2 linked regions of the Arabidopsis thaliana genome follow. The protein of the gene in region 1 purifies or fractionates together with the protein of each later gene. This does not show direct contact. Each region holds a gene or a part of one and is shown on either strand. Other genes may lie near its edges.

The links.
Region 2: the proteins of MOS4 (region 1) and RCY1 purify together in Arabidopsis thaliana (affinity purification with western blotting, with the first as the bait; one study listed by BioGRID). This does not show direct contact.

The regions. Positions count from the first base shown.
Region 1 is NC_003074.8:6,221,300-6,225,948, reverse strand, and holds MOS4 (modifier of snc1,4), read right to left. Parts: upstream 2,825-4,649; 5' UTR 2,702-2,824; coding exon 2,462-2,701; intron 2,029-2,461; coding exon 1,850-2,028; intron 1,757-1,849; coding exon 1,673-1,756; intron 1,317-1,672; coding exon 1,247-1,316; intron 1,152-1,246; coding exon 1,018-1,151; intron 928-1,017; coding exon 873-927; 3' UTR 546-872; downstream 1-545. Other genes in the region: PEX3-1 (peroxin 3-1), read right to left, coding at 3,026-3,269, 3,417-3,623, 3,779-3,906, 4,195-4,325, 4,423-4,613. UniProt on the Arabidopsis thaliana protein: Component of the MAC complex that probably regulates defense responses through transcriptional control and thereby is essential for plant innate immunity. Involved in mRNA splicing.
Region 2 is NC_003071.7:11,242,570-11,247,650, forward strand, and holds RCY1 (arginine-rich cyclin 1), read right to left. Parts: upstream 3,490-5,081; 5' UTR 3,367-3,489; intron 2,960-3,366; 5' UTR 2,936-2,959; coding exon 2,784-2,935; exon of another isoform or gene 2,700-2,783; coding exon 2,618-2,699; intron 2,497-2,617; coding exon 2,356-2,496; intron 2,225-2,355; coding exon 2,055-2,224; intron 1,833-2,054; coding exon 1,559-1,832; coding exon of another isoform or gene 1,554-1,558; intron 1,296-1,553; coding exon 864-1,295; 3' UTR 559-863; downstream 1-558. Other genes in the region: AT2G26440 (Plant invertase/pectin methylesterase inhibitor superfamily), read left to right, coding at 4,838-5,081. UniProt on the Arabidopsis thaliana protein: Cognate cyclin for CDKG1. Required for synapsis and male meiosis, and for the proper splicing of specific resistance (R) genes. Involved in regulation of DNA methylation and transcriptional silencing.

The DNA.
Region 1 (4,649 bases):
CATAATAATAATAGCAATATAGGAAGGATTTTTTTTCTTTGTTAAAAGGCAATATAAGAAGGTTGTTAAGTAGGAAAGAGACATTCTAACGAGTTCCGTGTCTTATAGCCTCGTTGGTGGGTCGCATGACGACGTACGTGTGCACCTTCCAATATGTGATTTTTTTTTTTGGTTTAATTGTAATATTTAAATTGAAAATTATGTCAAATACGTATATACAAATATATTTATTTAAAGGATTGGTAGTCGGTAGGAAATGCATAATTTTTATGTTTTGTGAAAATTGGTATAAGATTAAGAAAAATAATGTTTATGAGCAATGGCTCCGTCACTTTAACTTTTATCTATACATTTTTTTGTGCGTCTAATTAACATTAAACAAAGGGAAGCTCAAGGATCATTTACAATACAATGCATTATGCATTATGCATGGATATATTCAAATTTGAGTAGAAAATTCAATTTGTACCACACGAAACCACAAGAAGTAATATCATGGAAGAACCATATTATATTGGTTTGAATCTATCCAAGAAGAAAAAAATGGACGGAGGAGCTTTTCTGCATTCTGATTATAGGAGAATAAGGGATGCAACATCTTAATATAGAGAGAGAATATATGTTTCTAAATACAAAAATTTATATTGTATTTCAAATCGTAAACGTTATGCTCGATAAATTAAAGAGTTTCGATACTTTCAAAAGCAATTACTTGTCCCACACACCACTTGACAGGAGAGCAGAGGATTTCACAAAACTGGCAAATAACTGAAACTGTCTCGTCTTTGATTCTCTTAACCCACAACTCAAACCAAACTGACCAACAGTTGTTTTGCTCTGAACCTATGTTACTTAAGAGCAAGGGAGGCGCCTCATTGCATTTGAAGTGGCTCGACGTTCTCTAGTTTCTCTTCTAAGTTCCAACCCCTGAAACACACAACCCCACGAGTTTCAGTTTTACGCTTAAAATTCAACTCTTACGAGTGATATAAAGAAGTAAGACAACATTTTCCTCACCTTTCAGCAGCTTCTTTCTTGAACGAATCGATCTGTGTCTCAAGCATGGCACAAGCAGACTGAATCTCCATATTCTTAACACAGAGCTGTCTCCATTCTTGAGATAGAGCATTGAGCTCGTATGATGTGGTTTGCTGATAATGGCCACACAACAAAGTTTTAGATTACCCCGTAAACCAAACAGAAAAGTGCAAGGAAGAAGATGAAGATAATTCAAAAGAGTTGTCACCTGATGATACTTCCTTTCCCGATTTACTTTTTCAATTTCCTCATTCTGCTCCTGTGCTAGTCTTTGCATTCTGCAAATAGGGTTCAAATAGAGGGTTGAAATCAATCTCACTGTGGTTAAGTTCCAAAAGCCAGAGACTGGGTACAGTTTTATAAAGAATGACATGTTACAAGCTCACGAAGACCTTTCTTATGTTTAAAGGAAACAAAGAAACTTTCAAGCAGAAAGCACATGAAGAATAACGAAAGGCAAATCTCGTGTACTACAGCCAAAGAAGCATATTATGCAAGCAAGAGGGACAACATATATATCAATAATGCTTCAGCAGATCATCTAGGATATATACAATCCATCAACCAAAAAGCTTAAACCCTTTTACTCATTCAAATTCAATCAATGCTGCAGTATATACAAATGTGAACAAACCTGGTCAAAAATACTTCAAGGCGATGGTTGTTCTGTCTCCAAAGCTCGGGGCCAAGTTTTGACATCAATTCCAAATTCTCAAGCCTGTGAATGAAAAAAATCCACGTTTTAAAACAGGAAAACCCAGTATATACAGAAGAGAATCATGTATTAGAAAAAATCAGAAACTTTGCTTACTCAATCAGCTTCTGTTGCAATGACCGTTGATTCTTCTGAAGATACTGCTTCCAGGCAGCATCATCATTCCTCTTATTGGCAGGTGGCATTTCAAGTTTGTATCGGGATTCGAAATCTATCCGCACAGGAGGCTTCCCAGCTCTAACACGCTCATACTCTTTGCCAAGAACAGGGCAGTTCTACATTCGTTTTCAACAAAACAAAAGCGACAAATCAATCAATACCTTTAGACCTAAATCATAAAACTAGCTACAAGATCATAAAACTTCTACTACCAAGACCAGTTGCTCATGAGGATTCCATTCAATCTTAAGATTCTAGTTGATTCTGAACCCTTAAACTAAAATTAATTGAACCTTAGATAAATCACTAAACACTATGCTCCTCTTTTCTCTCCGTTAAGAAAACGAATAGAAGAAGAGAACAAGAACCCTATCATAACAAACCCAAAATCAACACTCACTCCTATAAAGTCCAAGATGAAGTAAAACCCAGAAACCAAAAGATTGGAATTCACCAAATTCCCTTTAAACCCTAATCCAACAAAATTTCCAAACCCTAGCTAGAGAAACGAACAAACAAATCGATAAAAGGATTCACAGTGAAATTCACCTTAAAATCGAACTTCGGAAGAGGAGGCAAGTCCTTTAGAAAGTCAGCTGGCTTCTTAGAGCTCCGACGCATCTCTTCCTCCACCAAACGGTCTACCTCCGACTTAATCAATGGATTGCCATAGTCGTCGTCTATATAAGGAAGCGCATCGATAACTTCTGCATTCGCCGCACTAGCCCAGGGCCTCGCAGCCTCCGGCGTCGCCTCCAACATCAAGACATCACCATTGTTCGTCGCCATAGTCGTCTCTCAACTTCAGAAATCGAAAGTGTCCAGATAGTGAGAACTGAGAAAGATGGAGAGACCCAAGTTAATAAAAAAGAAGAAGTTAATATCACCGACCCGGTTTTATTGGGCCTTGGGCTTCTAGGGCCCTAAAAACTGAAAGATATGTAATACACGGTGTCCTTTTTTGTTGCTGCAATATTACTATATTAGTAAATGATTTGATATAGATATTGAACAATTATTCTAGAGATGTTTGGTTTTACTATTTTGAAGTAAATCGAAACATATGATAAAAAGTGATCAGGAAACAATTTTTGGCAATGGGGTTTAATAATGCTACTGAGGCATATTTGCGTATAAAAGAGTAAAAAAGAGTTTAACTTCAGGCAAATCTCGGATGAGTTGCAAGAACCGGTTCTTCTCCGGCTCAGCTGAAATCTCCGGCATGGTTTTCTCAATCTGTGGTAATAGCTTTGCCAATTGCATCCCTGTGGCCAGACCGGTCTGCGTTTCCATCTCCTCTACTAACGCAACGGCACAACACTTGAGTGAGATCTCTGCTACATTTGAAAAATCATTGCTGCAACATGAAAACAAGACCAAGAAATGTTTAACAGGCTACATTGCAACATTCTTGCTTTGAGCATTGAAGCAGAAACGAGGACAAGGCTTTAAAGAAGTGAAATTGTTCGTCTTTTGCGGGTTAAAGAGCAGAGATTTTTTTTACCTTGTGAGTACTTCCCGTGTCTCGGTTATGAGTAGATGAAACTTGGTAACAGTTGCATCAGAAGAGGAAACATCAGTGGTTGCGTCTTGGGACATCATTAGATAATCTACCCAGTGGTGTGGACTTCCTGTGCTCATAAACACATCGAGAATCCGCATCACAGTTTCTCGAAGAGCACTTGTGGTTAACACATCCTTTAACTGCTTTCTGCAATTAAACACACATAGTTAGATTTCGCTATACGTTCATAAAAGTATAGTGATTCTTCATAGGCATTTGAGTTTGAGGCACCATAAAATCAATCTTCAAGGATGAGAAACAAGGGAGACATCTTTGATAAGTAGGTTTGTAATGTAAATTACCCCTTGAGAACTTCTTTCACTGCGTTCTGCATGTTAGAAATCAAACTCGGCATGCCACTGGTCGCAAGAAAATCAGCGCTTGTCAAAAACTTTTGTTCATCATCTCTCTCTATGAGATCTAGTTCGTCCTGAGAAAAAAACATATCAAGGAAATGACGTTGGTAAAGATTGTGGTAATCCAGCCAAGAGTTATATCTAAGACCAATGAATACACTAATTTCGATAATTTTGAAAGGAAAAGATGCAAAATATCAACTTCTACCCCTTGAAATCTCAATTTGAAATTTTGATATCTCAAGATACAATGCAACAAGTAGAATGAAAGTACACAAAATTTTATCAGAATGACCAATTTGCTAGAAGTAGCTTAACAATGATTCTTAAGACAATAAAAAGAGAAAAGTAAAATGTCTTACAAGTAAATGGGAGCTCCCAAGACCTCTAGCAGTGTCGATATATAAATGTCTGCCCAAAATATTGACTTGAACCCTAATGTACAAACTAAGCATAGTGACCGACCAAAGGGACAAGACCATTCTCGTGAAACCTGAACACAAGGAAACACATTTAAAAAGATTGATTAATGAGAAGATCCAATGTTGCCACAGAGCACGAGAAGTACAAGTAAGGGAACAACAACGCACTCAAAATTTTGAGCTCATTCCAGAGTTGAAGCTTCTCAGAAGGAATCAATATTCCTTTGCCTTTGCTTAGCTTATCCATAATACTCGAGACATCAATCTCTTCAACTACACGACTACTCAAGTGATGAATTGCGTGAGGCAATGTAGTAGTATCAGCAATCATCTGAATGTTATCGAAATGTGCCTTCATTCTAACATAGAGCATAGAGAGAACAAAACCAATAAGG
Region 2 (5,081 bases), on another chromosome or scaffold:
TTCGTTGACTGAGAAAAGAAATGATCAAATGGACTATTCAAGAACCCATATCAAGAAGTAATGCATGAGAATCAACACATCAAAATTCTCAGAAAACAAACAAATTGTTTTTTACCTGAGTAATAGAAGTGAAATTGATGTATGGTCAACCGCCATGACAAAGGAGTTCAGAAAATAAGATAGTGTGATGATAGAAGTGAAGACCCAAATTCATAAACTTGATGAAAATCTTGAAAACAGAGTATGGTCGAATGAAAGATTTATCAGAATGTTAGGATTGGCGAAACTCTTTTTCGAAGGAGATAAAATCGACAATTCAACGATGAAAATGTATCCGTTAGATGCGTATTAGCTATTTGTTTTGATTATTTATGTAGCCGGCAACAAGACTACGTGCTGGCCTTGATCATCATCAATCTTTATACTAATTTTATAAACCATTAATAATGTAGGTGTTTAGCTAGAAGATCTAGTTCATGGTTCGATATCGGTATTAAGAATATGCGATAGTTATAGGTGGAGCTAATAGACAAGTAAGTAATGATATAAAAAATGCTTTTGAACGTGCTTTAAGCCTACCATCATGTGCCACAAGTCAGATTTGGATACTATTATTCTCCTCTCTGCTCGGTCACAACAACTCACAAGTCAAAAGTCAAAAAACCACTTTTCCAAAGTTTAAGGCACTTTTCACAAAATTCCAAATTAGAAACATATCAGACTTTCTCGATTTTATATGTCGAACCAACGTGATCTTAGCATGTGATTAAGTACACATGGGTTTTGACTCTTAACACAATACAACACTATACTGTCTTAACATCAAGTAGGCTCAAGGGGATGTAGATGACAAGAAGATTGGCTTAATGGTGCCTACGACGGTCTTTCGATGAGTCGCGGTAGTCACGGTCCCGAGAAGAATGATGCCTTGATTTATCTGAATGTCCACCTGAATCCTTCAATCTGTCTCTTGACCGATGATGACTTCGATCTTTGAGTTTGTCTCTCTCCCTATCACTGTCTCTGTCAGAATCTCTGCCTCTGTGAGACCTACCCCTGTCCCTCTCTCTACCTCGTTCCTTCTCTCTATCACTCTCTCTTTCTCTATCTCCTACTTTACTTCTTTCATAGCTTGAGTCTCCTACAATTGGCTGAGAGTTTGACTCGGTACCACTTTTCTTGGAATCTGTAGCCTTTTCGTGTGGTGTAGTAACCATTCCATCCTTCAAGTCGTTATTAGCTGATCCTGCAGTACATTTAGTATCAACAGCCTCGCCTGCTCCCGGCAACAGATCCTGTAACAGTGTTAAAAGCACTTCAAACCTAGCTCTGATTACAGACATAGAAAATGCACTTGGATTGCAGATTTTCCCAAGCCGAAATAATAAAGTAGACAGCCCTTTTTCAATACTATATAACATGCAATGTGGTGGTAGAAACTCTGTTTACTACTGTGTAAGAAACGCACTCAACTTTAAGAGTCTATAATAGCAGTAATATGGACAATAATCTCATGTTTTCACAAAAATTACAAAACCAAGAAAGCGATCTACCTCACCTTTGTCGCTGATTGACCTTGAGAATTCCCGGATCTGCTAGAAAATGTAAATGGCTTCCCATCCTTGCAAACAGAGATATACTGAGCCTTTGGAAGACTGTATAAATGAGCAAGAACTCTACACACTTCGTCAATACTAGATTTATCTGCATCAAATGCTTTCCACCACGGCGGATTCTCAGGGAGTGGTACTTGAAACCTACGGGCAGCAGCATACACTACCCCACAAGCCACAACCTCACTTCTGAACCTTACACAGAGGGTTGTACGCAGACTGCATTATAGACATATCATGAGATTAAGATAAAATCATAAAGGAATTATCAGATATTGAGAAAGTATAACAAACATACTCAAAATCAAACTAGAACAGGAGAAATGCCAAGCTTCAGGATAAACATCAACTCTAAAACCTATCAACACTATGATGTGTAGCTAACTATTAGGAAATCATATGAAATAATATCCATATTAGGATTTTGAGAATAGAGATTACCTATCATTGGCCAAATTCCAAGCTTCTTGCCTCAATTCTGGAGGTGTTTCTAATGTGGCAAGGTAGTTTGATATGAACTTGTGAGGATGTTCAACATGACAAACAAAACCCATCTCTTTCAGTATATGTCTCTCAGTTCTGCTTAATTCAACTTTCAACTCAGAGAACTTCTGCAGATATTTAACAAGTAGGAAAAAAGATGAGATCCCATAAAAGTACTTCCAAATAAAGCTATCCCATGAGTAGAAACAAAATATACGAAAAAAAACATTCAATATGACAAATGCAATTGCAAACTAACCTTGGCATACATATCCAGATGTTCTAATGGCAAGTTCTCCCTGCGACACTCCATCCTGTGGAATACGATGATGACCTGTCTAGCTTTTTTAGGGTTTTCTTCCAGTTTTGATGCAAGCCATACACAGCTGGCAGCAACTATCTGTAAAAATTAAACTACATATCAAATCATTATGGTCATAGGCAGGAGTATATACACTCCTAAAGAATTATCATACTTTCATAAACACACAAAACTAGAAGAAAGAAACAAAATAATTTACCTTGACATCAAATTTAGCCAAAGACTTCTTGCAATAGAATCGCTGAAACAGAACCTGCCCAGTAGCCATAACTGCCTGTGGTCTAAAATAAACAATCTAAGTTAAGAAAATCACAGCTACGTAACATTTGAGTCTTGCTTAATAATTAGACCAAGAAAAAGGATACAGTTTGAGCAATATTCCACCCTCTTGGATGAGATCACATCCATAGATTCTAAGAGAGATTTCAGTTGTTTCATCTATCCCATCTTTCCTCGAAGGTGAAGCCTTCAGCTGCTCGTCGGATAGGTAAAAATTGTCGATAGCAGTGTAAATCATCGATTCACTAAACAACAACGGTCACTGTTTAAAATCAAGAGAAGAAAAACTTAGATTACAACAGCTTTACTTCAGATATCACAGCCAAGAACGTAATATCGCATACGAGAACAAAATCGAAATAATGAACATTATACACATGAAATCAATTTGTGACTAACAAAGTTAATAAAACATCTCATAAATGAAAAAACACAATTACAGGTTCTATATTAGCCAAACTTCAGAATTAGGATTCTGCCAAAATTCAGAATCTCACAAATTGATTGCTATAACAGAGAGACGAGACTATATTGTCGATTTTTGCTACATTTAGTAATGAGATTACGCCCTAATTTCAACTGAGATCAAGCAATTAAACCTAACTGAGATTAATCGCGATTAGAAATCAACACAGGTTGGATTAAAAGGGGAAATGGTTTAGGATGTACCGGAATTGGGAGATAGACGGCGGCGAAACAGACTCGCGGCGAGGAGAGCGGAGAGACGAGAAGAGGCGACGAAATCGGGAAATCGAGTTTGTTGGAGAAGTGAGGGAAAAAAAAGAAGAGAAATTAGCAAAAAGGAAGAAAATAAAATAATTGGGCCTACTCTAACTAGGCCCTTATTGGGCTTAGGAAGGAAGAAAAATGTTTTTAGGATTCGATGATACATGTAATTAACTAATTAAGAGATCGATTGTTTGAACTGTGGTGATGTCTCTGCTCCTTCCATAGATGTTAAATAATCTAAAATTAAAAATTTCGATAAAAAGTTCTGATGGATCATGCATCTAAATTTTAAAATGTGTTGCCAACATTCAGGGAGACAACACGACAAATTTATAATTTTCAATTTGGAAAATAAAATATTTGATTGCTAGACCCGCAAAATATATTCAAATCAAAAGTTACAAATGCAGCCCATAATTTTTGTATGCTCTTAGATTCGAACTACCAAATCCAGAAATAAAACACAAAATTACAGTAAAGGTACTCAAAATTCATATCAAATTTCGAGATTCGTCGAAGTTCGAAAGAAGATAAGATCGAAATCGAGACACTATAGTGAAGAAGAAAGAGTTTGTTTGAAATCAGAATTTTAATGTGAAATCTCAAACTCTACACATAAACGATGTCATTTGTAGTTAAGTTAGAAATTAAAATGGCCTTTTATGGGTACCTATTTATTTGAAAGAAAATTTGCATAATTAATAGGTTTAATCGGACTATCCTATTTAACATTACTTAACATTTTTCTATAAATGTGCTTAAATGAACTATTTTCTCGTAAATAAAGTAATCAATACTGATCTAGAAGTACAAAAAGCAATTCAAGAATCAATCATTACTTTATTTATGTATCAAACTTATATTTCACATCGTAGGCAAATGCCGTTACTAATCAATTTCAAAAAAATTGTTAAGACTAAAAAGCCCCAATTTTTCCAAAAAAAAATTTTACTAAGAAATTTTATTTTATTTTGAGTTTTGCAATAGGTCCCATAATGAATTGAGCCGGGACTGGATAGGACCAAGTGTCGTATGATCAAAATATACAATTGTGACTGGGTTGGGTCTAAAAGTCTAAAACCATTGCCTGAAACGTTATGGTTCCTCGTAGTTATCGTTAAAAGAGAGATTGTTTCAATCTTACAGATCTTATTAAAATAGTAACCGATGTGAATGTGATCTTATTACTAACAAAATCAAAATCCAAATTAAACAACAATCAGAGACATCGTTTTCTCTATATACTATATTTACTTAAACACGATCGATCGAATATTCAACCAAAAAAGATATTTGTTTTGTCGTCTAACGAAGACTAAACAAAACATTAAGTAAACCCATTCCTTTGTACTTTTAAAAACATAGCAGTCTCTTCTCTACTTGCTCCAAGCCTTCAACATTTTCTTCTCAAATGGCGCTCTCCTCTTTCAATCTCTCTTCTCTATTATTCCTCCTCTTCTTCACTCCTTCCGTTTTCTCGTATTCGTATCAACCTTCTCTAAACCCTCATGAAACTTCTGCTACAAGTTTCTGCAAAAACACACCATATCCAGATGCATGTTTTACCTCCTTAAAACTATCCATCTCCATCAACATAAGCCCCAACATTCTCTCTTTCCTCCTCCAAACCCTCCAAACAGCTCTTTCCGAGGCTG